4 linked regions of the Sus scrofa genome follow. The protein of the gene in region 2 interacts with the protein of the main gene of each other region in a pairwise test. Links are inferred from orthologs where the notes say so. Each region holds a gene or a part of one and is shown on either strand. Other genes may lie near its edges. The genes, in order: TUFM, FUNDC1, EHHADH and YES1.

Evidence for each region.
Region 1: the proteins of FUNDC1 (region 2) and TUFM interact in binary tests that used the Homo sapiens proteins (3 or more experiments, as listed by UniProt). The two-hybrid records come from large-scale screens. The link is inferred for Sus scrofa from reciprocal best matches to the Homo sapiens genes FUNDC1 and TUFM.
Region 3: the proteins of FUNDC1 (region 2) and EHHADH interact in binary tests that used the Homo sapiens proteins (3 or more experiments, as listed by UniProt). The two-hybrid records come from large-scale screens. The link is inferred for Sus scrofa from reciprocal best matches to the Homo sapiens genes FUNDC1 and EHHADH.
Region 4: the proteins of FUNDC1 (region 2) and YES1 interact in binary tests that used the Homo sapiens proteins (3 or more experiments, as listed by UniProt). The two-hybrid records come from large-scale screens. The link is inferred for Sus scrofa from reciprocal best matches to the Homo sapiens genes FUNDC1 and YES1.

What each region holds. Positions count from the first base shown.
Region 1 is NC_010445.4:18,519,917-18,527,541, forward strand, and holds TUFM (elongation factor Tu, mitochondrial), read right to left. Parts: upstream 4,790-7,625; 5' UTR 4,503-4,789; coding exon 4,460-4,502; intron 4,357-4,459; coding exon 4,162-4,356; intron 3,690-4,161; coding exon 3,523-3,689; intron 3,311-3,522; coding exon 3,206-3,310; intron 3,121-3,205; coding exon 2,956-3,120; intron 2,838-2,955; coding exon 2,705-2,837; intron 2,618-2,704; coding exon 2,513-2,617; intron 2,406-2,512; coding exon 2,254-2,405; intron 2,161-2,253; coding exon 2,041-2,160; intron 1,574-2,040; coding exon 1,400-1,573; 3' UTR 1,203-1,399; downstream 1-1,202. UniProt on the Homo sapiens protein: GTP hydrolase that promotes the GTP-dependent binding of aminoacyl-tRNA to the A-site of ribosomes during protein biosynthesis. Also plays a role in the regulation of autophagy and innate immunity.
Region 2 is NC_010461.5:39,732,718-39,740,316, reverse strand, and holds the start of FUNDC1 (FUN14 domain-containing protein 1), read left to right. Parts: upstream 1-2,653; 5' UTR 2,654-2,857; coding exon 2,858-2,885; intron 2,886-3,608; coding exon 3,609-3,765; intron 3,766-7,088; coding exon 7,089-7,164; intron 7,165-7,599. UniProt on the Homo sapiens protein: Integral mitochondrial outer-membrane protein that mediates the formation of mitochondria-associated endoplasmic reticulum membranes (MAMs).
Region 3 is NC_010455.5:123,150,762-123,157,741, forward strand, and holds part of EHHADH (peroxisomal bifunctional enzyme), read right to left. Parts: intron 6,205-6,980; coding exon 6,101-6,204; intron 2,868-6,100; coding exon 2,695-2,867; intron 1-2,694. UniProt on the Homo sapiens protein: Peroxisomal trifunctional enzyme possessing 2-enoyl-CoA hydratase, 3-hydroxyacyl-CoA dehydrogenase, and delta 3, delta 2-enoyl-CoA isomerase activities. Catalyzes two of the four reactions of the long chain fatty acids peroxisomal beta-oxidation pathway.
Region 4 is NC_010448.4:105,503,695-105,511,116, reverse strand, and holds the start of YES1 (tyrosine-protein kinase Yes), read right to left. Parts: upstream 5,034-7,422; 5' UTR 4,801-5,033; intron 4,475-4,800; exon of another isoform or gene 4,454-4,474; intron 1-4,453. UniProt on the Homo sapiens protein: Non-receptor protein tyrosine kinase that is involved in the regulation of cell growth and survival, apoptosis, cell-cell adhesion, cytoskeleton remodeling, and differentiation.

The sequences.
Region 1 (7,625 bases), on a different chromosome or scaffold from region 2:
AGGCAGGGGGAAGAGGGAATTGTCTGTAACAGCCAATTGGCTGTTAGAAGCTGGGCAGGTTTGGGGTCCCAAGGGACAGCTCTATGAAAGGGGGTCAGTGGGAGTTGAGAGGCAGCGACGGAAGAAGCAGGAGCAGGAAAAAGCCTTTGACAGCAGAGGAGGTTTGCATGCAGATGGAGACGGGTTTCTGCAGTACTGAGGTGTAACTGCTGGTGGTACTGAGTAGCCCAATGGATGAGTATAATCCCCCTGTGAAAACTTTCAGCCTCGAGAGGCTGAAACTTTGGGCACTTAAGAGGCTAAAGCAAGTGAGCTCACCCTACCCTTTACCTTTGAACAGGACATTTTTTCATGACAGTTCCTGTCCTCCCCTCAAGCCCGCCCTTTTACTCCTGCTCTGCAGTCACCAATCAGGCTGTTTCTCAAAACAGCCCCCAGGTTGCACCCAAGAGCTCCCTTCTCTTTGAGTTGCTTGTCAGTAGGTATTCAGGACATACTCATGTATCAGGATCCACGTTTGAAAGGGAAACCCCTGCTAAATGTTACGTTTGGGCATCCTGATCAGTCATTTCAATGTCTTGAAAAGTTTCAGTGTTTTACTTCCTGTGTTCAACAGACCTTAAGCCTCAGTACTGACATTGAAGGTGAAATCTACATTCTACAGTTTCTCACTCCTGTTTGGAATCAGTGATGTACTGATAAGCTTTCAAGCATACAGACTCTTAAATGTATCAAGTACCTTTTGTGTGCTGCATCTAGAGGTACAGTCCCTAGTGTCACCTAGCTGCGAGGACGGCTAGGTGGCAACAGCCTAGTAACTACTCAAAGAGGAAACTGGGTGGGGTTTGGCACCTGAACTGGGCCCAGGCTATAAGCAAATACTTTCCCTGGACCTCCCGGCAGGATATCCAGCACGGAGCCTGTCGAATATAGCATTTTGCTAGGCAATCCTACAAAACTCACTAGACGGGTTTTCGATTTCTTTAGCTTTTTCAAGTTATTCCAGCAGTGCTGGGGGTGTTAAGAAGGCTGGAGCTTTTTCCATCCTGTACCAGCAGTGACCTCTTGAGGCTAGAGAGCTGAACTCAGTTCAGACGGCTCAGGGATCTCACAAGCTCACCTGTCCTGGGCTTCATCTCGGATTTTGTATTTCCCACTCTATCCTCTCCAATGTGTACAAAGGACACAAGACACACACAGGCCAGCTATTTACAGAACAGTTTATTGACCTACCTCACCTGGCCAGCCGTGTGGCCCTCTGGCCAGGGGAAGTGTCAGTCTAGCTGTAACTAGAGGCTGGGCTGCAGCCTCTGCCCTGGGACCGGGGCGCCAGAGAGGTAGGAGAGAACATGGGCCAGTGCAGCCCGGAACACAAGAGAGCCCTGGCGGAGGTCCCGACTCAACTCCATTTGATGTTCTTGTCCTCCTCGGTCATGGCCGGCGTGTCGGTGACAAGGCCAGTGCCAATGGTCCGGTTGCCGTCCCTCAGGGTGAAACGCTGGCCTTTTTCTAAGATCATTGGCTGCCGCAAGATGAGGGTGAGCTTCAGGTCCTCCCCGGGCATGGCGAGCTCCTGGAGGGCAGAGACAAGGACCAGGCATGGTCTTCAGGGCGCCTCCCTTCCCCGTTTGTTTGCTACCAAGGAGGTTAAAGGCTATGGGCAAGTGCGGCAGGGTGATGATTCTTTCTGGAGAGACCTTCATCCCAGCTCTCAGGCACATGCAAACAGCATATGCAAAGGCAGAAATGCGTTGGTGATGAGAAGTCCTCGGGTACATTCTCAAGAAAAAAATGTTTAGATTTGGGGTCATACAGGTTCTTTGCTCACAGGGCTTCACTGAGCCCTTAGGTACAATACAGAGGAACTCCCGACAACGGGAACTCTTTCCCTGGGAAATTTCTGCGGGTGGGTAAATGATGGATCAGGACGCGTTCCCCCTCAATCCACTGATCCAGACCTTTCTATCACCAGTGCCACCTGCATGGTCATCCAGCCTTTCTTCACCAGGGAAAAGTCACCCACATTCACATGTGCCCTACCTTCCCCTGTGGCAAGATGATCCGACAGGCCATGTCCCAAGTCAGGGAGAACATGACAGGCATGAAATGAGACACAAAGGGCTTGTGGCGGCCACCCTCCTCCTTGCTGAGGATGTAAACCTGTGAGAGAATGAGGGAGCAGCTGGGCTTGGCTGGAAGCACCACATCTGCCCACAGTGCCCGGCCCATCCCCACCCCGCCCGGAGCCCTCACCTGCGCTTCCACCTTCTGGTGGGTCTGGATGGAACCCGGCTTGGCCATGACCAGGCCACGCCTCAGGTCCTCCCGCTTCAAGCCTCGGACCAGGGCCCCCAGGTTGTCGCCGGCCTCCGCCCTCTCCAGGCTCTTGTGGAACATCTCAATGCCTAGGAGGGAGGAGAGACGAGGGAGGGTGTGGGGCAGAAGGAAGGAGCAAGTGGCCCACAAGGGGAGAGGGCAGCCTGGAGCCCCAGGGGCCCAGGGCCTCCTGTACCTGTCACCACAGTGCGAATATTCTTGCTATGTCCCAGGAACTCGCACTCATCTCCCTTCTTCAAAATACCACGCTCGAGCGTGCCTGTCACCACCGTGCCTCGGCCTGGGAGGGGACAGGACAGGACAGGACATCAGGGACCCTGGGCAAGCTTCTGCGAGAAGAAGGAATGTGAGCGAGCAGAGTCCTCACCAGGGATAGAGTACACAGACTCCACAGGCAGCAGGAAAGGCTTCTCCAGGTCCCGGGTGGGCACTGGGATATAAGTGTCCACAGCATCCAGCAGCTTCTGCACAGACTTCAGGCCTAACTCAGGGTCACGTTGCTACGGGCGGGAGGTAGACAGGACCCTGAAACTTCCATTCTGCTCCCCTTAACTTGCCGAGAGCCACTCCCCAGACTCAGAGCAGAGCTCGGGATGCCCGGCCTGACCCCGCCTTCACCTCAAGGGCACAGAGGGCAGAGCCCACGATGATCGGAGTCTCCTCCCCTTTGTAGCCAAACTCTGTGAGCAGTTCCCTGATCTCCAGCTCGACCAGCTCCACCATCTCAGAGTCCTGAACGGCGTCCGCCTTATTCACATACACCACCACGTGCTCCACTCCAATCTGCAGGCGGGAGAGGGAGCAACGGTGTTGTGAGTGAAGGCTCTGCCCTCTTTCCTCCTTCCACCCATACCCTGGCTCTGGGTACCTGCTTGGCCAGTAGTAAGTGTTCTCGGGTCTGGGGCATGGGGCCGTCGTTGGCTGCTACCACCAGGATGCAGCCGTCCAGCGGGGCAGTACCTGTGATCATATTCTGGGTGAGGAAAGGAGAGAAAACTGTAGTTCAGTGACTTGGGGTCCCACCTCCCCCTGCCACCTCCACTGGCCAGGCCCCCAAATCCATGATCTCAAACCCACACATCTTGGCTCTCTTAACCTCCTCCCCACAAGCCTAACATTGTTCCCGATGGGGGGGGGGGTGCGCGGGGGAGCAGTTCCAGGGCCTGCCCCCAGCAGCTCTCTCACCTTAACGTAATCTGCGTGACCGGGGCAGTCTGTGTGGGCATAGTGGCGGTTGGCAGTGCTGTACTCCACGTGGGCCGCATTGATGGTGATCCCTCGGGCTCGCTCCTCTGGGGCGTTGTCGATCTCCTCGTACTTCTTAAACTTGGCCCCGCCTCCCTCGGCTAAAACTAACGGGAGGAGAGCACACCTCTCAGCTAAGGATCTGATCTGGAGGGAGAGGCAGGGCTCAGACCACACCTCTGGGCCCCTCCCACCCAAACGGGAGACAGCCTGGGAGAAAGCAAGCTTCCAAGACCTTCGTCTTCGACTCCTGGAACGGAAATAACTTCACCTTTTAGGGCGTCAAGGGTCAGCCCTGGGACGTCTCTAAGGTAACGCTTCTGCTTTACGGGGCACTCCTCCGGGCTGGAGGGAGGCTATTCGGGGTCCCCCCATTTATGCATCACAAAGTTCTTCATTTCGACGGGAAGTCTTGTCTCCCCAGTCTTGCAATCTACCGCCCACCCAAGGTGAGGCTCCTGGGGCCCATGCTAAACACCTCCAGCAGCGTTCCGGCGGGCCCCACCTCCCCGGCGCCACGTCCCGCCTGCAGAGCGGGCGCTGCCGAATGCCCGACCCCCCCGCCCCAAATCCGCTTACTTTTCGTGATGGCTGCGGTCAGTGTGGTCTTGCCGTGGTCCACATGGCCGATGGTACCCACGTTCACATGGGGCTTGTCGCGCACATAGGTCTTCTTGGCCTCCACGGCCAGGCCGCGGCACAAGAGGGGCAGTGCCGGGGCCTTCAGCGGCCGCAACAGACCCTGCAACAGTGATGTTGGGCCAGCGCCGAGACCTGCCGGGGCAGAAGCTTGGCGTCAGGGCGCGGGTCTGAGCCTGGCCGCTCCCGACGATCCCCGTGTACTCCCGGGCCGCCATCGCCCTCCCCGCCCCCTCACCGCTGAAGAGGGGCGTCGCGCGCAGCAGGGTGGCGGCCGCCATTGTGGTCTTACGAGCGCCGGGAACAGTGGGTACGGCGCACGGACCCCGGCGCGTGCACCAAGCAAAGGGCAATTGAGGCTGGAAGCGGCTTCCGGCGGAAGTGAGGGCCGAGAGGGCAAGTTTGGGCACTTCTAGCCCCGAGTCTCTATGACCCTCCCTGTCAACTTCCGGGCTCGGGACCGAAGACGTCCAGGAAGACGCTGGTGCCTCTGGGGTGGGGAAGGATGAAGAAAGTTTCCCAGACGCCCCTGGCCTTCGCGGGTTCAGGGGCCACGCAGTTCTCTCTGGTGGCGCCGGGGGGCGATGAGCGCCGCAAAGCACACCTGCGCCCCGGAGGCTCATGGGAGTTGTAGTTCCCAGGGCGACAGGCTGTGCGGGCACTTAGCGTGAGAGTTAGGGAGACCGAGGCTGGGTACGTAAGGACGGTCTCGACCCTCTTTGAGGCAGAGGCGGCGGCCCGGATGTGGCTGACCCAGGAACGTCCTGGCCCCGAACCCCGTGGAGTCCCACCCACTGCGCGTGTCTGGCGACTCATCTGGTGGCCAGATCTCGCAGCTGGAGGTAGGACCAGGCCCTGCAACTCTGAGGGGGAAGACGATCCTGGGAGTCTTTCGGGGTTGGGGCTCTAGTGTGATCCTTCTCTCCGCTGACTCTTTGTTTTCTCATCTATAAAATGGAAGTAGTAGTATCTGCTTCATGGACAGATCCTGGCGTCTGGGTCTGAAAGGAAGGGAGCTAGGTAGGAGGCGGGAACGGGGTCCAGAAGGCTCCAGGTCCCACGGTCTTTGACCCTCGCTCCTGGCTCGCAGCCTGCGGAGACAGTTTGCCGTCCACCCCTGTTGCCTCTCAGCAGCCCAGGGAGTAATTCCCTTGATCGTCGTCCCCCCCAGCCACCCAGTTTTATAGATGACCAGGTAAGGGACCAGCCTCTGGTGCCTTTGAGGGCAGCCTGAGCCTGTCTTGTTCCGGCTGTGTCCCTGGCACCTACCACTGGGCGGGGCACTCAGTGAGTGCTCAATAAATGTCTGTTGACTGAATGAATGAGTGCAAGGATAGCAAATGACCTTTAACTTTCACATCCATCATCTCATCACCTTGCAAGGATAATAGCAGCTGCTTAACCTTGATTAATGTTTCTGAAACTCATCAGATCCCAAGACTCAATTTACGGTGTCTGTTTCAAATAGATTCCTTAATTCCTCCTTGGAGATTATGATTCAGTAGTGTCTGGGCACAGACAAGAAAGCTATATTTATTCATAATACATATATACACCCTTCTTAGGCTTAGGGGAGGTTGGAAAATTCAGATCTAGAGCTTTTTTATGGATCAGGCACTGTGAAAATGCTTCATATTGGTTCACATTCAAAGTGCCAAATGTTATTCTGTGGGAATATTATTTCCTCTGTTTTACCAGTGAGAAAACTGGCATCAGGATGATTGAGGAACCCAGCCGAACTAAACTCCAAGAAAGTGTGCACTTAGCCAATGTACTATTCTGTAATTTAACTGTCATTTTTACAATGAGAAACATGCCAAGATGTTTGTCCTCCTGTCCTTCCAAACCCATCAGCTCTCCTTAAGAAGGGCTGGTACAGTATTAAAAGGGTTCCCAGCCCGTACCTCAGTCACTATGCTCCTGGGAATTTATCCTAAGACACTGTTGGCCACTACCAGGATGTGAGATTTTTAGGAATGGTACTTGAACTAATGCTTTCTATTCTAGTGCTATGTTGTTGTTGTTTTTAATTTTAATATTGTGTTTTTAGGGCCGCACTCACGGCACATGGAGGTTCCCAGGCTAGGGATTGAACTGGAGCTGCAGCTGCCGGTCTACAACGCAGGATCTGAACCACATCTTCAACCTACACCACAGCTCACGACAACGCTGGATCCTGAACCCACTGAGCAAGGCCAGTGATCGAACCTGCATCCTCATGGATGCTAGTCAGATACGTTTCCACTGAGCCATGACGGGAATTCCAGCGCCATGTTTATTTTAATGTGTATTAGTTTGAAGGAAAGACTGGTATGGCAAATAGCTTAAAAAAATGAATCAATTAGGAGTTCCCAAAAGAACCCGACTAGTATCCATGAGGATGCAAGTTTGAGCTCTGGCCTTCACTCAGTGGGTTAAGGATCCAGTGTTGCCATGGCTGTGGTGTAGGCCAGCAGTTGCAGCTCTGATTCAACCCCTAGCCTGGGAACTTTCATATGCTGCAGTTGTGGCCCTAAGAAGCAATAAAAAATTTTAAAAGATGCTCTTGAGGTATTCCCTGGTGGCATAGCAGTTTAGGATCTAGCATTGTCATTGCTGTGGCTCAGGTCACTGCCGTGGTTCGGGTTTGATCTCTGGTCCAGGAACTTCCACCCCCCCCCCAAAAAAAAGATGCTCTGGGAGTTGCTGTCGTAGCTCAGTGGTTAACGAATCTGACTAGCATCCATGAGGATGAGGTTTTATCCCTGGCCTTGCTCAGTGGGTTTGAGATCCAACATTGCCGGGAGCTGTGGTGTAGGTCACAGATACAGCTCAGATCCTGCGTTGCTGTGGCTCTGGTGTAGGCCTGCAGCACAGGTCCAATTTGACCCCTAGCCTGGGAACCTCCATATGCTGTGAGTGCTCCCCTAAAAAGTAAAAAAAAAAAAAAGATGCTTTTGAAACCAAATGACCTTCTGGGTCTCCCCAGCCATCCATGTTCGTTCTGCTCCATGACTGAGCTCCTGCTTAGCAGCCATTTTTCCATCTTCCTGTAGTTGGGGCCTCAGTTTTATTCAAGTGGCCCTTTTCCCAGTTCCACAATCAGTCCTGACAGGGAGAGTCCACTGCTGGTGCTCCCATTCTCCTTGCCAGGGGGTTTGTTTAGGGTTAAGTGTGTGGTTCCTTTGGGGCTTGTGATTGGTAAGAGGAGATCTGCCTTGAGAGGGCTTCCAGGAACGGATTCCTCACTGTGGAGCAGGAGACGCTGACAAGATGGCCCTCCTTCTAACTCTGCACTTGCTGGGTCTGGATGGGAAGCCTGGACCTACCGTGCCCATCATGCTCTCAGTCCAGAATGAAGCCAAAATCCACAAGAGGGCGAATCGAAAAGGATCTCAGAAGCCTGGTTTCCTTGCAGTGTGAAA
Region 2 (7,599 bases):
GACCCTTTGTATGGTGCCTTACAATAAACAGCTACACTTGCCTTCACCAAAGCCTGGTGTCAGTAGATTGGCTTTACTGTGTGGGGGCAAGCCGACTCAAGTTTGGTTCAGTAACAATACCTTATAAACTGTTGAGTTCAGCAGAACACAGAGATAAATGCCAGTGGGCTAGAATCAAGTATGTAACATAATCCATTTCAGTTTATCAAGTCTTAATGCATTTTTAGCAGACACTGAATCAATCATTTGCAATAAAACCGTAAATACACTTGGGTAAACAATATTTTTCACTTAAGCACTTTCCTGTTATTACAGTCTTTTTAAACGTAACATTCAGTCATTTCCATAACTAATCATCTGCTGTTGGACGCTTTCCACTTTCCCTATTGTTTCTATTCCTTTTCATTACGAAAAACCAAACCAAACCAAACAACAACTCTGTAGCAACATCGGTAGAATAAGAACTCTTTATATTGTCTTTGGCACTGATTGTTAGTGAAGTGGCCTCTTTAAGATTGTGGATTCACATTATCAAAACTTGTACCTGTTTGCACTCCCGCCAGCTCGTACACAAAGCATCACCTTTGCCACATTTTTCTCAACAGCAACTGATACTCTCAGTACTTGGAAAGGTCACTGAGACCATTTTAAGTGTGTAAACGTGGGGTGAGTGGGCTCCATTGTGTTGGGATTAGTTTTAGCCAGGGGGAGGGTTATCTTGTCCAGGGAGTGTGAATTGTTCGTTTGTTATTTTGTCTGCCTTTTGTTTTTCTCAATTCTGACGAAATTGTTTTTAACAAATGAGGTTTTCAACGACAATGAGGAAAGATGGCGACGAGGAAGGACTAGTTTCATTACAGTTTCATTATGGATGAAATAGAAAATGTTCTCTGTTTCAAGTAAATTACTCATAAACTTTTGGAACCCTACCCATTGAAAAGCTGGAGACTACCTGAATTATGTTTTGGTACAGCCGTAGATAAGATATCGGTGTTCACAATGAAAATGTTTATTAGGACTAACTGAAAAAAAAAAAACCGCATCACTATTCACTATTCAAAATGGGAATTAAAAAATCACCCTCTTGAACCCACCAGGAGGATCCATAGCTCCGTTTAAACTCTGTGTACACAATTCACACATTCAGCTGTTCATCACCGAGCCAACAAAATGACAGCTTTTTCAATACTGGGAAAGAAAAAACCTCACACTAGAAAAATATATTAAACAACCAACTTCCTTGAGGTAATGGCAAGGGCGTACTGCAAGAAAAAGGGGAGAGCATTAAAAAGTTCATTCTAGCCCTCAAGTCCTTTAGAGAAATGACTGCCTTTTAATTCATTTTTGGACAGGTTTCAGATACGTTTTGGATACAGAGATCTCTTCTTGGGCATCATAAGAGCAGTGTTTTGTTCCCATTTTCTCCCTCATTTCTCCATAATCATTTAATTTGAAACACTATTGCTTTGATAGGAAAGCTGCTTCTTCCTGTAGTTGGTAGCTACAGCTAGAAGCATGTGACAGTGTCATTTGGGCGTCATTGGCCCAGTCAACCCTCTTCCAATTTGTAATTTTTTTCCTTTCTTCTCCTTTCTGTTCTTTCAGTGGCCCATCACTTGCGATTTCTCTTATTTGTTAGCACCTCATGAGGCATAGATGGGCAATGAGGAGGAAGGCGTGTATGAACTCAAATCTGTTAACTCTTGGAAGAAAATATTTCAGTGGGGACTTCTGAAGTTACGTCCCTTAAAGTGATTTTGTTTCCAAAAAGAGTCACCTTCCACAAAGTGATCACAAACATCTCCAGGCAGTCTTAGAATTGCATTTTGAGTGGCACAATCAGAGGAGCTTGAGAGAATCAACCTTTGCATTTAAAGCACCAGGATTTGAAAAGCCAAGTGCAATTATGTAAGTCAATATTTTAAGGAAAGCAACTTCTACCAGAATTTCTTGTTTTTTCCTTCATATTCATATTCTCGGAATAGGAATACTGATAGGGCTGTGTTAATTGTACAACGAATGGCGGTGCAAAGCAAATTCAAAACAAGTTTGGGGTTGAGTTAGTGACTGGGTGATTAACACAGCTTTTCATTCAACTGAAACCCGTAGGGCTTCTGGGAGAAGAACTTGACCTCGTTCCCTCTGTCAGATTCAAATAATAAAAATGATGCTCAAAAATTATGTCCTCTTGAATAACGCGTGTCAGGTCAGTTCCTAGGCCTTCCTCTTCCTCCCTTGGGTTCCTGGCAGGAAACGTGTGGAGAAGGAGAGGATGAAAAGGTTCCAATTCCCAGCAGCAGCGCGTTAGAAAAATTTTCCATCTGTTAGCCCTTGACTCCTCAGAAAAGTGTGGCTTGAAACGGGGTTTCTCTTACCTCTTTTCAAAAGCCTCTTTCTGGTACAGCGCTACAAACGGCAAGCTGCTTTTCGACGTAACCGCCCTGTGACACCCCCTCCCCTCCAGACCTGAGGCCCTTTAAAACAAAATAACAAGATTCTTGTTCTGGAAATTCTAGAGGGGGAGGGGTGGGAAACCAGGTTTGTAGATGGCAACGGACTACAACTCCCACAAGCCCTCGCGGGCTGCTAGCCGCGCCCCCTCCCCTCCCCCCTCCCCGCACCCCCTGAGCCTGACGCTTGCGCAGAAGGCCCTGCGCTTGGAGGAGGAGGCGGGGACAGGACAACGCGCCAGGAGGAAGAGGAGGAGGAGGAGGAGGAGGAGGAGAAGGAGGAGGCGCAGGCGGAGGAGGGAAAAAAAGAGACCATAGACTTCCACCTGGGTCTAGAGCGGCTCTTAAAGTAGTAGGGAGAGGAGGGAGGGCTGGGACCACCTTCAGTACAGGCCGCCGGCGGTATCATGGCGACCCGGAACCCCCCTCCCCAAGGTGAGCGGCCGGGCCCCGAAGTAGTATTTTAGACGCGGCTCACAGCTCTCGACCTTGCTTTGGGGGCGCCTCTTCCTTTCCCTGACCTAGGGTTCCTGGGAGCTCTGTGGTTTTTTTTTTTTTGGAGGTAGCCTCTTTGAGTACCCCCTCCCCGCAGGCGAAGAGGGGCTCCCTCCCCTCCCCCAACACAGCCCCACCTCCCGCCTTACCTACACCTACGGCCCTTTCTAGCTGTCTTCTAATGTTTTTAAAAATTTTGGCTCTGAAGTGATTAATGCTCCACTGACAGACCCGACTCTGTCAGTGGAGGATCCCCCTTTTTTTCTCCCACTGAGAAGAATGGACCCTGCGCTGACCCTGAACCTGAGACTTGAGGGTAACCCTTCCTGCTGTGGAACTCTGACCGGACCCTATTGAGACTGGGGTGGGGGTGGACCCGGCTGTGAAACTCCGACCTGACCCTACTGAGATTTGGGGGCGGGTGACCCCTCTGCTGTGTAACTGACGTTGCCCTGACTCCCCGGGCTGGTTCCTGAGCCTTTAAAAGCGAGATGCTTTCGAGGCCCTAGTCTCAGGGATTGGGTTTAACAAAGTTTGTTACCATCTGGGCGTTTTTAGCTGTTTGCCAAAAGTAGCAATGAGTTGTAACAGATGAAAAATGTATAGGGCATTTTTAACTTTCGGTTGACTGTAAATGTGTTGCTTTCGTTTTCCGTTTTGAAGACTATGAAAGTGATGATGACTCTTACGAAGTGTTGGATTTAACTGAGTATGCCAGAAGACACCACTGGTGGAATCGAGTGTTTGGCCACAGTTCCGGACCTATGGTAGAAAAATACTCAGTGGCCACCCAGATTGTAATGGGTGGAGTGAGTGGCTGGTGAGAACATCTTTTTTCCTTGAATTTCATTGGGAGCCTGACTACTGTCCTTTTGTATCTGGGCCAATTCCGTGCTCAGTCAGTGGCTTTACACTGTTAATCCCTAAAGAGCTGTACCTTGAGGCTTTTCTCTGCCCTAAGATGAGTGTAATCTACTCTCACAGACTCTTGGGTTTTGATGATCCTCCTCCTCCATGCCCTCCCCTGTGCCCCCTCCTCACCCTTCCTTTGGTTCTTTGTAGATTTCCCCCCTTCTCAGCTTTAGCAGATGTTATTGGATCCGATTCAGTGACAGTGGCTAAAGAGAGAAAAACATAAAGGAGAAGAATTCATTATATGTAAATAATTTCTTCCTTGTGCTCACATCTGGAAAACGCTCTGAACTCCCACAGTAAAACTGATCCTCAGGAGTATCAGCCCCGTAGAGAGCAGTGTAAAATTCTCAGTAAAAATGACTGATTCTGTCCATTTTTAGGGGCTAGTTTGGATTGTGCTAATACGCTGAGGAAGAGCTGTAGAGCATTGGGTCTACATTGTTGGGAATAAAGGACTGATTGCTTACACAGTAGTAATGTTATGGAGGACGTTAAGGGGGAGAGGTTAATAAGCATTAACCTAACATTAATTAGGTTAACATTTCAGACCACATGATTGTATCATTGCCACTATGGATCCAATTCTGTTAGTCTTAGACTAAAAGATTAGCCAAATAACACAGGTCAGAAACAAGTTTGACCCTTTGTTTTGAAAATGTTTATGACCTTGAGAGAATCTTTGAAATTAGTGTGGGTGCATAACTTGTGAATAGTCACTTTTTTTCTTACATTCTAAGTTAAATTCATCTTACATGAATTTAAATATGTACAAACTTGATAAGTATAAAAGGAAATGTTTTGATTTGTGTTGTACACTCACCTTGGAATAATGGGGCACTCTTTTATGCTTTTTTTAATAAATGTCATTTTATGGTAGAAACACTCATTGTGAAGATTCTGTAATGAAGAGACGCTGTATTTATTCATAATGTGTACTTATTAATGCTGCTTATGAACAAAGCCTACAGTTCGAGAGAGGCCTAGTCAGAGCCCTGGTTCTTCAGATGATCCTTCACAGGCTGGTTGTACCTCGATGCCCACAATTCAGGACCTGGCCTTCTGCTTAAATAAGGCCACAGTTTGGTGCCATAGGCTGATTGGTTAATGTGAGTCACGGTCTGAAGCCCCATCTTAAAAGAGACTGAAAAAAAATAATTGAACACTAGAATTATATCATTGTGTATTTTCTCTTTGTAGGCCAAACTGGGTGAGAAGCCCTGTAATTGACAGAAGTTTGCTGGGAAAGCCTAGAGACAGAACAGGGAAATTAAATTAGTAGGTTTCCTGTAGTGGCTTGTATGCCATAGCAGGCAAAGGATAGACATGCTTGTGGAGCATACTCTCTGGGATATAGTTAAGACCTGGCTGTTGCTTCTCTCCTCTGCTCCCTTTTCGGAGTCTTTGCTGCTGTCTCCTGTACTGAGGGCCACATGTGTTTGGACTAGAGCCAGATGTCCATCCAGGAGCTGTGTAATAGACCTATAATGTTAAACAGGTGATTTGTTGTGCTGACTCTAGATTCAGTGTAATCTGTTTTTGCAGTTTTCTTAGGGTATGGAACTGTTGAACTGTTGTGGCATAAGTTAAGGAAGAATGGCTAACAGACTAATCCGTTAACAATTCAGACCAATTCAGGACATGAATGGGAAGCTAAGGAGATTATATTTAGCTGTCGGTAGCTATAGGTTCTTGAGCATGATGAGAAATTAAAACTGACAGCGGCATGGGTGGCTGCCGGGTGAGCTGGGAGGTGTGAAGATTAGTTAGAGGGCCCTTAGTGTGATCTGGAGGCAAGGCAGTGACACCCTTCAGGATGGAAAGAAGACAGAATCAAATACTGTTTTGGAGATCCCCGAGTGTAGAGAGCTGGCAGTCAGTTGGACCCCAAAGGCGATGAAGAAGGTGATCTGAGATGAGCGAGAGGAGGTGAGCCTAGAGAACGGTACTGTCGCTTACACACCGGCACCTTAGCAGCAGTTTTCTTGGTTGGAAAGATGGTGTTTGCTTTGGGACACTTTGAACATGTGGATCTGGGTGCAAGAGAAGCTCATCAGGTAATTGGAAATGTGAGATTTCCATTTATGAAGGTGTATTAGTTTCCCAGGGCTGTTGTGACAAAGCATCATGACTGGGTGGCTTAAAATGAAACTTATTCTTTCACGGGTCTGGAGGCCAGAAGTTTGAAAGGTGTCACCAGGGTTGGTTCCTTCATGGAGGCTCAGGGAGACTTTGTTCCATGCTTTTCTCCAGGCTTCTCTTGGTTGCCAGCAATCCTTGGCATTCCTTAAGTTGTAGACACATCCCTCCAATTCTGCCTCTGTCATCACATGGCCGCCTTCCCTCTGTGTGTCTCTATGACATATGGGATTTGGGGCCCATCCTACTCCAGTTTGGCCTCATCTGAACTAATTAATCTGCAATGACCTTAGTCCAAAGGTTCGGGGAAGGTCAAGGACTTGGGGAAAATCCAGTACAGAAGGCTCGAGTTAGAAATTTGAGATTCTTTTGCACACCGTGGATCTGGAACACTGAAGGGAATAATGAGCTCACAAGAAGTATGGGTTGACATCCTTACGGGATAAATGAGACAAAACAGGTTTAATATAGGCATAGAAATGGACAGGGAACCCATGAGAAATGAGGTATAGTCCTGAAGGTGGAACTCCAGCTGGACCTTAAAGGGTAGAAAAGTTTAAGACAGGTAGAGCTAGGTCAAAACCTCTAGAAACAGGGAGATGAATAGCTTGAGCAACAGTGGTGTGACCTGTATGGAAACTAATTGGGTTGGAGCAGAAGGTTTGGGTAGAGAGAGGTGAGGGTCGGCCAGGTGTGCAGAATGCCTTGACCGTGTTAAAAAAAAAAAAAAAAAAAAAACCAGAACAAATCAATTTTATGATGGGGAATTCGAACTTAACACGTAAGTGTAGAAGAAGAGTACAGTGAACCCGTGGGTACTCAACATGGAGTTTCAGTAGCTAGTTCTTTTCCTATAAATTCCCCTGTCCTGCTCTCCATCCCTTGTTTTGAAACACATCTCGGGTAGTTGAGATTGTGCCCTTTTGACTAGTCTAACTGAAGGTAAACACGGAGCATTCTGAGTAGCTAAGGGACATGATCAAGAGAAATGGGAAGACATTACGATTTTGATTAGAAAAGCAATGAAAGTAGAAGGGAGAGGTTTAGTATATCATTGGTTGGTCTCATCCTTTGTCATTTCTGTCATTAAAGGTGTGCAGGATTTTTGTTCCAGAAAGTTGGAAAACTTGCAGCAACTGCAGTAGGTGGTGGCTTTCTTCTTCTTCAGGTATGTCAGAGCTTTAGGTCAGGTTTTTTTAAAGCACAGTTTGATTCTAGCTATTAAAAAGACAACTATAAAAATTTGAGGTGCAGCATTTTTTTGGTTACTGCTTTACCCAGATTTCCCTTGAAGCATCTTCCTAGCAAAATAAACATTTCATCAATGATGTACTTACTCATCATTACCATTTAAAATAAATTTCAGGAGTTCCCATTGTGGCGCTGTGGAAATGAATCTGACTAGTAACCATGAGGTTGCGGGTTCGATCCCTGGCCTTGCTCAGTGGGTTAAGGATCTGGCTGTGGCTGTGGCTGTGGCGTGGGCCGGCAGCTGTAGCTCCGATTTTGATCCCTAGCCTGGGAACCTCCATGTGCTGCGTGCGTGACCCTAAAAAGCAACAAATAAAAATAAATAAAATAAATTTAAAGTTCACACGCAATA
Region 3 (6,980 bases), on a different chromosome or scaffold from region 2:
CTTAGATCTGCATTCAGTATGCAGAAGGTTATGGTATGAGGAACACAGAACAAGGAACACTTAGGATATGTGTTTTTATTTGTGTTTTATAAAAATTAAAACAACACTGGGAAATGGTTAAATAAATTATGGTAAACATATAAAGATAAAAAATTATGCAACTATTTTAAGTGGTATTTTTAAGAAATAGTTCCAATAAGAGTAACAGCAAATCTCTCATCAGAAACCATGGAGGCAAGAAGGCAGTGGGATGACATGTTCAAAGTACTGGAAGAAAAATACTGTCGACCACGAATTTTATATCCAGAAAAAACTAGTCTTTGAAAATGAAGGTAAATTAAGACATTCTCAGATAAATAAAAACTGAATTTGCTGCTAGTACATCTGCTCTGCAAGAAGTTCTTCAGGATGAAAAGACACTAAGCAGTAACTCAAATCCACATGAGGGAATAAAGAATACTGTTAAAGGGTAACTATATATATAAATATAAAAGACAGTATTAATGTAACTTTTTGTATGTAATTTCTCTTTTTTTCTTATCTAATTTAAAAGACCAACACATTAAGTAATAATTATATTTTTGTGTGGATGGGTATGCAATGTATAATGATATTATTTATTTATTTATTTATTTATTTAATTTTTTTTTTTTTTTGTCTTTTTGCTATTTCTTTGGGCCACTTCCGTGGCATATGGAGGTTCCCAGGCTAGGGGTCTAATCGGAGCTGTAGCCCCTGGCCTACACCAGAGCCACAGCAACGCAGGATCCGAGCCGCGTCTGCAACCTACACCACAGCTCAGGGCAACGCCGGATCCTTAACCCACTGAGCAAGGGCAGGGACCGAACCCGCAACCTCATGGTTCCTAGTCGGATTCGTCAACCACTGCGCCACGACGGGAACTCCCATAATGATATAATTTATGACAATAACAGCATAAAGAGAGTGTGTAACAAAACCGTATGGGAGTAAATGTTTTGCATACTATTGAAATAAAGTTGGTACTAATCAGAACTAGATTGTCATAAATTAAGATGTTATTTATAATCCCCAGGGCAATCACCACTAAGAAATAACTCAAAAATACACAGTAAAAGAAATAATAAGAGAAGTTAAAGGGCACTAGAATATATCTATTTAACACAAACAAGAGTGTTAGTGGAGGAATTGAGGAATAACAAAAAAAGAAGGTACAGAAAATAAATTGCAAAATGGCAACTATAAATAATTATGTTAAATGTAAATAGCAGATATTGGCAGAATGGATAAAGACTATTTAATAACACTTTAAACATGCTATTAGTATAAAAATAGAGTTCAAATGAAGGAGAATAAAATTCCAAATATTGGGGGTTTTTTAATTAAAAGGTTGCAAAGAAAAACAAAACTGTAAGAAAAAGATATTACCCAGGAAAAAGACCAGAAGGAAATAAAACAGAATGTTAACAGTGGTTATTTCTGAACTGTGAGTTTATGGTGACTTTAGTTTACATCTTCATACTTTTATGCATATTTTTTATAATTTATTACAATGATGAATATTATATTTATTACTAGAAAAATATAGGAGTCCCCATTGTGACTCAGTGGGTTAAGAACCCAAATAGTATGAGGATGTGGGTTTGATTCCTGGCCTTGTTCAACAGGGTAAGGATCCGGCGTTGCTGCAAGCTGTAGCATAGGTCACAGTTGAGGCTCAGATCTGGTGTTGCTATGGCTGTGGTATAGGCCTGTAGCTGCAGCTCCCATTTGACCCCTAACCCGGGAACTTCCATGTGCTACAGTGTGGCTCTAAAAAGAAAAAAGAATTATTTACAAAAATATTACTGGAATTCACATCGTGGCTCAGTGGAAACAAATCTGACTAGTATCCGTGAGGATGTGGTTCGATCCTTGGCCTCGCTCACTGGGTTAACGATCTGGCATTGCCATGAGCTGTGGTGTAGGCTAGAGACGTGGCTCGGATCTGGCATTGCTGTGGCTGTGGCATAGGCTGATGGCTACAGCTCCAATTCGATCCCTAGCCTGGGAACCTCCATGTGCCAAAGGTGCAGCCATAAAAAGACAAAAAAAAAAAAAAAATACTCTTGTAAGACTGGAATCACAAACTTCAATCTACATGTCTAATAATCCAAATTAAATCTATTTCCAGAAATAAATGGATTTACTAGTTGTGTGCTATTTCCAATGGGAGTTTGTCTTAGGTACTAATAATTATGAGACCACAAAACTGAAATGTTTGTGATAGGAAATGAAAATTTAAATAAGTATGCATACTCAGGGGTGACAGTCAAAATATTTAATACTTCATACTGCATGAGCATGGCTCAGTGAAATCTGACATGTGAGCCACAGTAACAGAGCAGGATTCTACAGGTCCTGTCTGAACAGGAGTTCCGCTTTAGTTGGTGGGTCATGGGGAGGTCCAAGAGCTGGGGTTAGGGGAAGTGGAAGGACAGTCATGGGCTCAGGGTATCAGCTATTTATCAAATAAAATGGATATTTTCAACCTTTCAACAACTACTACTAATGTATTGGTACAAAATAGCTAATACCAGTGCTAGAAATACCTAAGAGTTGTCAACCAATAAGCCAACCCTTTAAAATTAACATCTCTGATGCTTAGGACTACATTTAGAGCTTGCCCTAAATAAAAGCCCCACCACCAAATCCCCTATAGATCCCCTCTGTTACCTCTGCATGGGCAATCCTATAGTGACAGCCCAGGGCCAGCTCCAGTCCTCCTCCTAAAGCCAAGCCTTGGATAGCAGCCACCACAGGCTTCTCATATCTCTGTATTTTATCTACTATATCTCCCAGTGTTAAGTCAGAGGTTTTATGAGCGCTGAAGCCATGGATATCGGCACCTAAGAATACAAAGACAAGGAAAAAAGACAGTAGAGGAAGACTTGGGCTTTGCTATAAAACAAAAAGTAACCAGATAACTCTTTTTTTTCCCCCTTTTGTTAGGGCTGTACCAGTGACATATGGGAATTTCCAGGCTAGGGGTCAAATTAGAGCTCAGCTGCCAGCCTACAACACAGCCACAGTAACATGGGATCCGAGCTGCATCTGCAACCTACACCATAGCTCATGGCAACATCAGATCCTTAACCCACTGAACAAGGCCAGGGATCGAACCCATATCCTCATGGATACTAGTTGGGCTCTTAATCTGCTGAGCCACAACAGGAACTCCTCAGATAACTCTTAAGGAATCTCAAACCTCTTTGGACCCATGAAACACTTCATCCTTGGCTGCAGACACAGTAAAGGAACAAATAGCCTGGAAAATGTTGAATGACATGAGAGAAAATCCTCAAATCTTTATCAGAAATCCTGAGCAGGAGTTCCCATCGTGGCAGTGTGGAAACAAATCCGACTAGAAACCACGAGGTTGTGGGTTCGATCCCTGGCCTTGCTCAGTGGGTTAAGGATCTGGCGTTGCTGTGAGCTGTGGTATAGGTCACAGACATGGCTCGGATCCTGCGTTGCTGTGGCTGTGGCACAGGCCGGCGGCTACAGCTCCAATTAGACCCCTAGCCTGGGAACCTCCATATGCCGCAGGAAGCGGCCCAAGAAAAGACAAAAAAAAAAAAAAAAAAAAAGGAAATCCCGAGCAAAGCCAGGGATCAAACTGGCATCCTGATGGATACTAGTTGGGTTAGTTTCCACTGTGCCACCACAGGAACTCCCAAGATAGTTTTTCATGTAATAGTAGCAATTAACATTTATTAGATAAATACTATATATCAGGCACTGTGCTAAGTAGATTTATATACTGCCTTATTTAATTTTCTTAACATTGTTAAGTAGTATAACAGTTTCCATTTTACAGGTAGGGAAATTTAAGGCTTTCAGGTTAAGTGACTAGTTCAGACATAGGACTCTGTAAAAGGCAAGGAATGATTCTTCCCTAGAGATTTTGGAGGAAGACTGGCCTTGCAGATATCTCGATTTTGAACTTCTAGCCTATGGAACTCTGAGAGAATATGTTTCTGTTGTTTTAAGTCACTCAGTTTCTGCTCATTTGTTATGGCAGCCCCAGGAAACTCATATAGGAAGTAAAACTCTTATTTTTATTCTCTGAAACGTTCCTGTAAAATTAGAATAATATTTTCCTTGACTTTTCAGTTAAAGGTTACCAATTAAGTCATCTGGGACTTGAATTTACTTTGTAAGATTTCTGAAAACTGATTCAATTTCTTTAACGATTTCCTATTTTTTCTTGAGTCAATTTTATAAGCTGTGTTTTTCTACTTGTTCCTATTATCTTTTTTAATGGCCAGAGCATCTGCAGTGATATCTGTCATTCTTTATGCGTATTGTTTGTACCTTCTTGTTTTTTCTTGATAAGTCTAACTGAAGCTTTATCAGTTTTATTAGTCTTTTCAAAGAACTTCTGACATTTTTATTCTCTTGATTCACATTTGTTTTCTATTTTAGTAATTTCTCTTCTACTACTTCCTTCCTTCTAATTCATTTGGATCTATTTTACTGTTCTGACAGTTCCTTGATATAGATGCTTACCACAATATGGTTGCTTTTTTTTGTTTTCTGATGTATATCTTTAAGGCTATAAATTTCCTGCTAAGCTTGAGCTTGTATTCCTCAAGCTGTTTTTATTATCATTCAGTTCAAAATAGTTTCTAAACTGCATTGATTTCTGCTTTGACTCAGAGGTTATTAAGAAATGGATTTATTTTCCAAACACTTGAGAATCTCTAGTTAGTTTGTTATTGATTTATAGCTTGACTGCATTATGGTCAGAGAACACATTCTAAATGAAATTCTTGAGATAAGCTTTCATGATCCAGTACCTGATCAATTTTTGTAAATGTTGCAAATTTGAGAAGAATATATATTTTCCAAATGTCTGGCGCATTGTTCCATATAAGTCCATTAAGTTAAGTCTGATAATCCCTAATGCTTTTCTAGGACAATTATTGTTTTTGCCTCTGAACCTAACTGCATTCTCTCCTACCTCCTTTCCCACAAAGAAATATCAATTCTGACTTTTCATACTTCTGATCCCTTACTCCATGCCTCAAAGCACCATCTTGTCTCCCAAACTCAAGTCTTCAAACAGTTGAGTAAGCCATTTAATAGCTGGTTAATGTTTGACACATTATTTAATCTATCTTAGGCTCAGTCTCTTATCTGCAGATGGAAATTATAGGATTTACTGAGGATTAAACTATAAAGTGTTTAAAAATATTACTATTTTCATCGTCAATAAATAAATAAGCTACACAGTACCGGCACATAGCAGGCATGCTAAATGGTAATTATTATAATGAGTAATGTCTTCATATTTATTTACTGTCATGATTTCAATAGCTATTTCTTCTCCATCTATTGCCAGCATACATTAAATTCCTCTGACTACCTTAAGAATACATGGGTCCTCATGCCCATGTAAATTTTGTCAAAGGGTATACTATATTCACTTGGAGAAAGAATAAAATGTGCCACAAATACTACTGAATAAATCACCTTTTCAGATACTTTTGCCATATTTTATCACTACGTTTGCATCTTCACAGGCTAACCCAATAAAGAGTGCCGCGGTCGCTGAGACGAGTGACTATCAGGAGAAAAATAAACTTCAAGATTCTGTGTGAAGTAAAAAATAACATTTATTGAACATCTGCGTGTAGGCACTGCTCTAGGGGCTCTTAGATACATTATCTCATTTAGTCTCACAAAAACCTATTAAGATATAAACGTCACAGTATATTTTATAGTGCAATTGAGGTTCAGGAGATTAAAGGGACTTGCCCAAGCTCACACAGCATAGAGACATATGCAGAGCAGGTATGTACCAGCAGGTATATACTAATATGTATAATAGCCATCAAGCCTGGAACTAAATGTCCTCCAAAGGCCCAATCCAACTGAAAGGGGGTAAAGTCAGCATCTTCTCTGGGACTCTTCTGTGACTCCTGTCTCTTTCTCCATAGTGTTTCTCATTCCCATTCAAGTCTCCTATATTCATTACTCACACTATGGTATTACCCACAGGGACAGCTAATGAAATATTGATCTCAGGCTGTGGCTGGATTTGAGAAATAGTGGGAAAGGGTTAAACATTAGTTACCTGCAGAGAAGATGCCATCTGTTCCACAAATCACAATGGCTTTTACTGTATGATCTGTTAGAGCTTTCTGCAACCCCTCTTTTATTCCATGGAGTACAGACACACTACAAGAAAAGAAAATTATGTGATGTATTGATCAGAATAGAATTTCTACCATCTCAAAATTTTATTTTTTCACTCCTTCCCTAATAATGAGAAAGTAAACATACACATGATGGATTAAAATCCTGGATACTATCATTAAGCTTTTATTAATTTAAAAAGTAGTATGTCTCTTGTAAAATAAGCACTGGGCTGATTAAATACATAAACTCTAGGGAAAAAAAAGTGTTTTCCGGAGTTCCCGTCGTGGCACAGTGGTTAACAAATCCGACTTGGAACCATGAGGTTGCGGGTTCGATCCCTGCCCTTGCTCAGTGGGTTAACGATCTGGCGTTGCCATGAGCTGTGGTGTAGGTTGCAGACGCGGCTTGGATCCCGCGTTGCTGTGGCTCTGGCATAGGCTGGCAGCTACAGCTCCGATTAGACCCCTAGCCTGGGAACCTCCATATGCCGCTGGAGCGGCCCAAGAAATGGCACAAAAAAAAAAAAAAAGTGTTTTCCTGCATTCTGCTGTAACTCTGACCACTTAGAATCAGGATAATCAATTTGAAAATATTATATACATCTTCTATGTACAGTAAAAGGAGTTTACAACATCCTAGGGAGAAAAAAATAGTACATAATATCATACTAAGATGAGTGCTATAACAAAGGTACAAAGAAATGATGTGGAAGTTCTGAGGGGAAAGAAATTGCTTTCAATTTGTCATATTGGCAAAATATAACAAAACTGAAATAGTCTAAAAGAAACAATCTAAGAGATATGGCAGGGGCTGCA
Region 4 (7,422 bases), on a different chromosome or scaffold from region 2:
TATTATACTAGGAACTATTCTCAAAAATTCATATAAAACATTTCCTTGACACAGTGTCAAGTATATCACAGTCACGGGAAGAAATAATTGGAATACAGAGAGAGAGAAATGTGCTTAGATACCAGGGTTTTGTGGGACCACAAAGAAAGGGATCAGGAGTTCTTGCTGTGGCACAGTGGAAATGAATCTGACTAGCATTCTTGAGAATGCAGGTTGGATCCCCAGCCACCTCGCTCGGGGGGTTAAGGATCTGGCATTGCCAAGAACTATGATGTAGGTCACAGACGAGGCTCGGATCCCATGTTTCAGTGACTGTGGCGCAGGCTGGCAGCTACAGCTCTGATTCAACCCCTAGCCTGGGAATTTCCATATGCCATGGGTGCAGCCCTAAAAAGCGAAAAAAAAAAAAGGAAGGGGGTCAATACACCACTGTCTTGTTAGGCATGTGCCACGATGACTCTGTATACTTGCAATGTTTAAGTGTAGTCTTCTGGGCTTCTTTCTTCCTTCCGGTTACACAAGTCTGAGAGCTACTTCTCCCAATACTCTCTTATTCCCAAATTAACTAAATCCTGAACCACTAAATTCCAAAGCCAGAATTAGCAGGAGAACTGTCCAGATTTTCTAGTGGTAAAAAGACAACAAGATGCTGCTGCTCTTCACTTGCCATGACTATAAACTGAACAACATTTCAGAAGAAACAAAATTTGCCTATAGCACCTTCTAGTCTGGGGCTTGCTGCTGATGCTGTATCTGTGTTCGTTGATATCCATCTTCTCATACCCCAGGAATGAAGAAAGAACAATAGGAAAAGTAATCTAGAGTTCCTACTTACAAAACTCAAGCAGCCACGGGATATGTCATGTGCAGCTAGTTCTAGAATACTCCCTCCTAAAGGTCTTCCACTTCCTGGAAGAAAAGTAGGGAGTCCAAAGAATCTGTACATCAGCTCTGTCACCCACCAGATAACAGTAACAGAGCAGCACTTCTAGGAGACACAGCTTAAAGCATCGCAGAATATATATGGTTCAGAGAACCTGAAATCACATATATACTCAAACAAGGAAAAGTGAAGGGCACTGATGGGGGAAAGGGGGAGCAGAGGCATAGCCTGGCTCATCAGTAATCTCAAGTACATTATCCTGTACTCTGAAATTACAAGATTCCCTCTCTTTCCCAGAATGAGCATTAAGATCTTAAAGAACAACACCAGGTAAACCCAACCCAGACCAGGATGTGTTGCTATCAAGTCTGCCAGTTCCAAGACAACAGTAGTGCTGCTGCAGCCAACGATTCCTTGGCACACAGACTTGTTAAAATGATACTGGCAGAGGCACCGGCTCTTCTCTTTCACCCTCTGCTGTTACTATAGCTCCTTTTGCTAAATCTGCCTCTGAGTTTAGACAGGAGCTGGATGGATCATAATCACCCAGCAGCTGCAGCTGAGCAATAGGCAGCCTAATTGTGGCGCTGGAGCAGCTGAGAGGAAGAAAAGAGCTAATACGTACCCCGCCACGGCCACACAAACTGCCACACACACTACCAATGAGATACCAAGATACTTTAACAGAAACAGATGATTTCCTTTAAAGAAAAGCAGTTTCACCTCGCTAGAAGAACTTGCATTTGTATTACAGACCTGTTTAAATGTGAACTGAAGGTGACCTAAGCCATGTAGGTTTCTGAACAATGGAAGATCTTAACTAAAACTTCCTGTAAATATTCACACAACAAAGCCAGGGCCACAAACATCACCTTTATAACATGACTGAAAGTTCCTGCAGTGTAAGAATTTGGCACATAATGATCTCTTCTTCAACTCTACAACAATGCAAAGCAACATCAACAACTAAAACAGCAAGCCATTACATAAAGCAAGTAAAGTAGCATAAGGCAATGATTCACAGCATTTTTGTCACTTGAAACAAAACATACTATTCCTTTAGGTACACAAAAACTTATTTTATGCTGAGAACTTTAAGATACCCTTAAGAATATCAAAACACAGGCTGCAATTATTGACCTGAACAATTACTGTGTCAGGAAACTGAAAACAAATGAAAGAATTACTACTCTGATGCCACAGTTAAGTTGTAGGTTTTAACTGTCATGTTACCATACACAATCTTCAGAAAAATAGGGGATATTTTATACTTGATGACAGAACAGTGTCCACTAGTTTAATAAACATTTTTTGATTACCATTTGTCACAACATACAAAAATTGAAATTAAAGTTAGTAAAACCTGGAGTCTTCCCTCAAAATATTAACATAATTAACATGCTATTCACATGTGAAAGTAGTTACATACACTAACTACTGGCATATGCTAGTTGTGATTTAACAGGTCTAATCCTGTTTGCAAAGGGCAGCTCAGGCAGTGTTCTTAAGTCAGTCACCAAATATTAAGTCCTTTAGTGGAAGAACCTTACAAAGTACATTACACATAGGCGTCTTGAAGGGGGGGGGGGCAGTTTCATATAAACTAAACTACAGACACAGAAAGGCACTCAGAATAAACATACGGCTTAATGAATTACACACGAAAGCCAACACCCTTGCAACCACCATCAGGTAGAACTTTGCCACCACTTCAGGAGCCAGGTCCCAATCACAACTTCCTCCTTCCTCTCTTATCAGTACTTTTTACAGAAATCACTTCCTTGCAGATTCTTAAAAAATACATAGCTTTATCACCCAAGTTTGCATTCCTGGACCTCAAACCTTAATACCGCTCTCTTTAAAAGTTTTTTATAAAAAGAAATAGTACCAAAATTTTTTTATATTAGGCTCTTTTTAAATATAATGCTAATAGGAACTAATGATATCTATGCTAAACAGAATCACTAGGTTAAGAGCTAAATATATTAAGAAAAATTACTCACATTAATAAACTATTTACTGCCTAAAAAGATGCAAATTGCAACTCTACATAAACAAGTCTTACACCATGTGTTGGTAATATTTCATTACAATGGGTCATTACTATTCCTTTAGGATATTTATTCTTTTAATGTTACATAACATGAAGGAGATTGATTTGCATAGACGATTATTTTTCAATTTGAGGATTTACTGATTAAAAAAAAAAAAAACTTGAACCATACATTAATATTATACATCAGCTGTAAGACAAATTCCACCTATCCCAGAAGATAGGTCAAAGCTGTAATTTCACTTTTGGTTGAACAGAAAGGAGTCAATTTTGTGGTTTATGAAGTCAGCAAAAGCATACTGCAAAATTAAAGCTATTATAACATTATGGTGGTTACAGCAGAATACATATTTTAAGAGCGCTTTCATATTTTATCCTGGAAACATAGATATGAACTGTACTGTCTTGTACTTGGAATCAGATCGCAGTCTTTTTTTTTCTCCCCAAGTTTAGGAACCAATGAATTTTCAACCAGCATTCAAAATCTCCACTGAGGTTTAGCTAATGTCCAAAAATTAAAGTACAATTAAACTTCCTTTTATTAAAGGGTCAGCTATGGCAGGGGTCTAGAGTATTAACAAAACAGAAATATGGTTTACTGACATACAATATAGACCAATATATGAAAATCATGTGACACATACAAGATCCTTGGCTTCTAATACAAGACACTCCATTACCTGTCCATTCAAAATGTTGTTTCCTGTCCACTGTGTGCCAACCATTGTGCTAGCTAAGATATTAGATTTGCCACATACTTTCTTTGCTTTAAATGCACACTTACATGTACATATATAGTAATATTTTCCTCCTCATGTAATTTAACTATAAACATTTAACAGGATGGTTTAAACACACTAGAATTATCAAGATAACTTTGGTACTGCAATCCTGCAGCTGCAATACACGAATATACTACAATCACATATAGGTATATGTGAAATCATCTATGTGAACACACATACCAGTGGAAACTATGTATGTTCCCATGATAATGGCATGAACATAAAGTTTTATTCGAATGGAGACTCAACTTTTCATTTCTTTAATAATTTATGAATTGTCATTCCATGCCTGTTTTAATTAAGCAGAAAATAATTCAACCACCACACAGCAAAAATTAAAGCGGTCTCTACATCGGACTTGATTTTCGAAGAGCTTCTTAAAACAACGCTGCCCCATGTCCAATGAAGCAAAAGCGGAAAGCAATTACCAAAAAGAAAAACATATTAAAAACAAAATTTTCTTTAACACATGCGGACAGAGAACCGAACCAAATGGGAGGCAGAACTGCAAAACAATGTAAAAGTGCCCGCAGAACGGCATATTTCCCAACCCCCAACCCAAAACAAAGGAAAACTTTAACATGTTGCGGTTTTCAATCAAACCAAGTGCAGCGAGAGGCTCACCCACTCGCTCCCCCCAACCACGCCCGCTCTCCCGGCACAGTTGCCACCCGGCGTCCGCCAACGCGCAGACCCCCGACCCCTGGGTCGGAAAGAGGCCACAGCCCTCACCCCTAACTTCGGCCAAAATAAACCTCGCTGCCCCCTTGGCCGACGGCCCGCACGACCTTATAGACGCTTGTGCGGATGTCCCAGCGCAGCGAGGACCTTAGGGCGGACTAGGGCGGGATGGAGAAGGGCTGGACGGGGCGGAGACCCAGGCTGGGGGCAAGCAGGTAGCGCCGGGAAGGAGACACACCCGCCGGGCTAGCGGGGCCGGGGGAGGGGAGAAGTTTCTCCCCAACTTCCCGACTCGGAGCGGGCGGGGGCGGGGAGCAGCGGCGCCTCCGGGCGCCGGGGCCTACTGCTGTGGGCCGGGGTCGGCCACCTCCCCCCGCGGGGCCCCGAAAGGTCCTTACCTGCCCTCCAGCTGCGCTCGCATGAGTCGCCGCGACGGCGGGGAGGGCTGGCGGGGAGGGGGCGGCGGGCGGAGGCGAGGCCCGCGGGGCCCTCTCCCTCCTCCACCTCCTCGTCCCAGGCGCCCGGCGGCAGGAACGATTGCACAGCCAGCGGAGGACTCGCTACTTCAGGAGGAGGGAATTCCCGGGCTCTCCCACCCCTCGGCCTCACGCTCCGCCTCCTCCCCGTGCGGGGCCCGCCCTCACTCCAGGCTCCGCCCCCTGCGCGGGGGCGGGGGCGAGGACTACCTGCGCTGCCGACCGGTCACCGGAACTCGCGCGGCGCGGAGCTCCAGCGACCCCGCCTTCCGGCCTCCGCACGCGCCCCTCCTGGGCTGTTGGCCGCCCTCCGGCGGTCGGGGTCAGCGGCGAGTCCGAGTTACTTCTCCCGACCCAACATGGCGGCGGGGTCCGGGGCGGATTCCCGAGGCGGCGCAGGCTAAGGGGGCGTGAGGAGGAGGCGCTTCTCCACGAGGAGCGCAGTACCACAGCGCCCCCTCCCCACCCGCGGACCTTGTGGCCGCCCGCTCGGCTGCGGCGGGAGATGGAGCGGGAGTTCGCTTCCACCCCGTCGTAGTTTCCCCTTATCTTCGCCAGGCTCTCTGTAGTTGCCGGGGGCTTTGTCTTTGCGGGGTAGGCACGGGGGAGGGGGGAAATGGTGAGTTGGGTGCTTGCCCCTCAGCGCTATGCTTCCGCACCCTTTGTCGTTGGTAGTAAAATCTCAGCCAGCCGCGTGAGCCAGAGGGGCGTTACTAACACCCTCATCACGGTCCTGACTGCCGTCCAAAAAACGTTCGCGTCTGGCCTCCTTCCGATCCAGGGATCCTGTCCCAGCCCCAGGAGCTTCCTGTTGACTATTGGTCGAACCAGCCTTGCGGAGAGAGGGAACCCAAGCCGAGTTCTGTTGGCGACTCTCCCAGTAATGGTGGCTTTGGCTTGTTTTAGGAGACCGTATTCTTAGGCGATCGTGGCAAGATCCCAACGAAGGAACTGGACAGGTATTGTCCTGTTCGACAGTTGTGGAAACTGAGACTGCCACCCCGACGAACGCGGAGCAGCCCCAACTGGAATCCTGCTCACCTGCATCCAAGCACCTTTTCCTACTGGCCTTGTAGTGAGTCGCCGATGGAGAAGAAAAGGAGAGGGTCCCGAAGAAGCTGAGATTAAAAGTGAGGGTCAGGGAGTTCCCGTTGTGGTGCAGTGGTTAACGAATCCGACTAGGAACCATGAGGTTGCGGGTTCGGTCCCTGCCCTTGCTCAGTGGCTTAACGATCCGGCGTTGCCGTGAGCTGTGGTGTAGGTTGCAGATGCGGCTCGGATCCCGCATTGCTGTGGCTCTGGCGTAGGCCGGTGGCTGCAGCTCTGATCAGACCCCTAGCCTGGGAACCTCCATATGCCGCGGGAGCGGCCCAAAGAAATAGCAAAAAGCCAAAAAAAAAAAAAAAACAAAAAAAACTGAGGGTCACTCAGTGTCTGAAAGGGCTGAATCCTCTGCTAAAATCACTTCTGCCCTCTCAGACTCAGATTAACTTCCTCTTCGTATTTCCTCTTTGGTGGGATTATCACAACAATGTTGGGGCTGTTGGTTTCCTTTGTGGTTTTTAGCGAAATTCAGAAACATCTTCGACAAATATGAAGTAGTACCATCACGTGTCAGTATTCTGATATTCTAGGAACTTAGTAAATGCATATAAGGGTTTGAAAAAAAAATTTCAGCTCATTAAATGTACCAAAGATAAGCATAGGCATTCACATTAAAAGGTACATGTAACATGGTGCTTTATTATTTGATTTAGCTTCTGAAACATCATTTGCCCTTAATTTTCTTGGGCAATAAAATTTTCATGTAAAAAAAAATGCATACAGATTTGTTTTTGGCCATGCTGGTGGTATTTGGAAGTTCACCCGTGGGGGAATCAAATCCAAGCCACAACAGTGACCCAAGCCACAGCAGTAACAGCATTGGATACTTAACACAGAAGCCACAGGGAATTCTGAGATATATTTTTTCAATTGTATGGCCAGCATATGGAATTTCCCAGGCCAGGGACTGTATCAGCCACAGCTGCAACCTACACCACAGCTGCAGCAATGCCAGATCATTTAACCACTGCACCCCAAATGGATCACACCTGGACCTCTGTGGTGACGGAAGTCAAACTACTGCAGTCAAGATTCTTCTTCTTCTTCTTCTTCTTTTTTTTTTTTTTGCAGTCAGATTCTTAACCCACTGTCCCATGGTGGGGATTCCTGAGATATTTTTCTTGTCCTAAACTCACAGCCTCAAAAAAAATCAATGCTATAATACTTGTTTACCTCAGTTTAAGGGGTGAAGTGACTTTAAAGATATTCGGTACAAAGGTTTAAGGGGAAGAGGAGGTGTGTGTCAAAATCTATAAAGTATTATATTTATCACTGAATTTTCTTCTCTTAACCTTCATTTTGATTATTTTTGTTACCTCATAAAAGGTACCCTGTTTTCCCTTTTGGAATATTCATCTAGGTACAAATGTTAAGCTTCAGTCTTAAACTCAGTAGTTCACTGACTCCCACGGATATTAAAAACAAACGAGACAGGAGTTC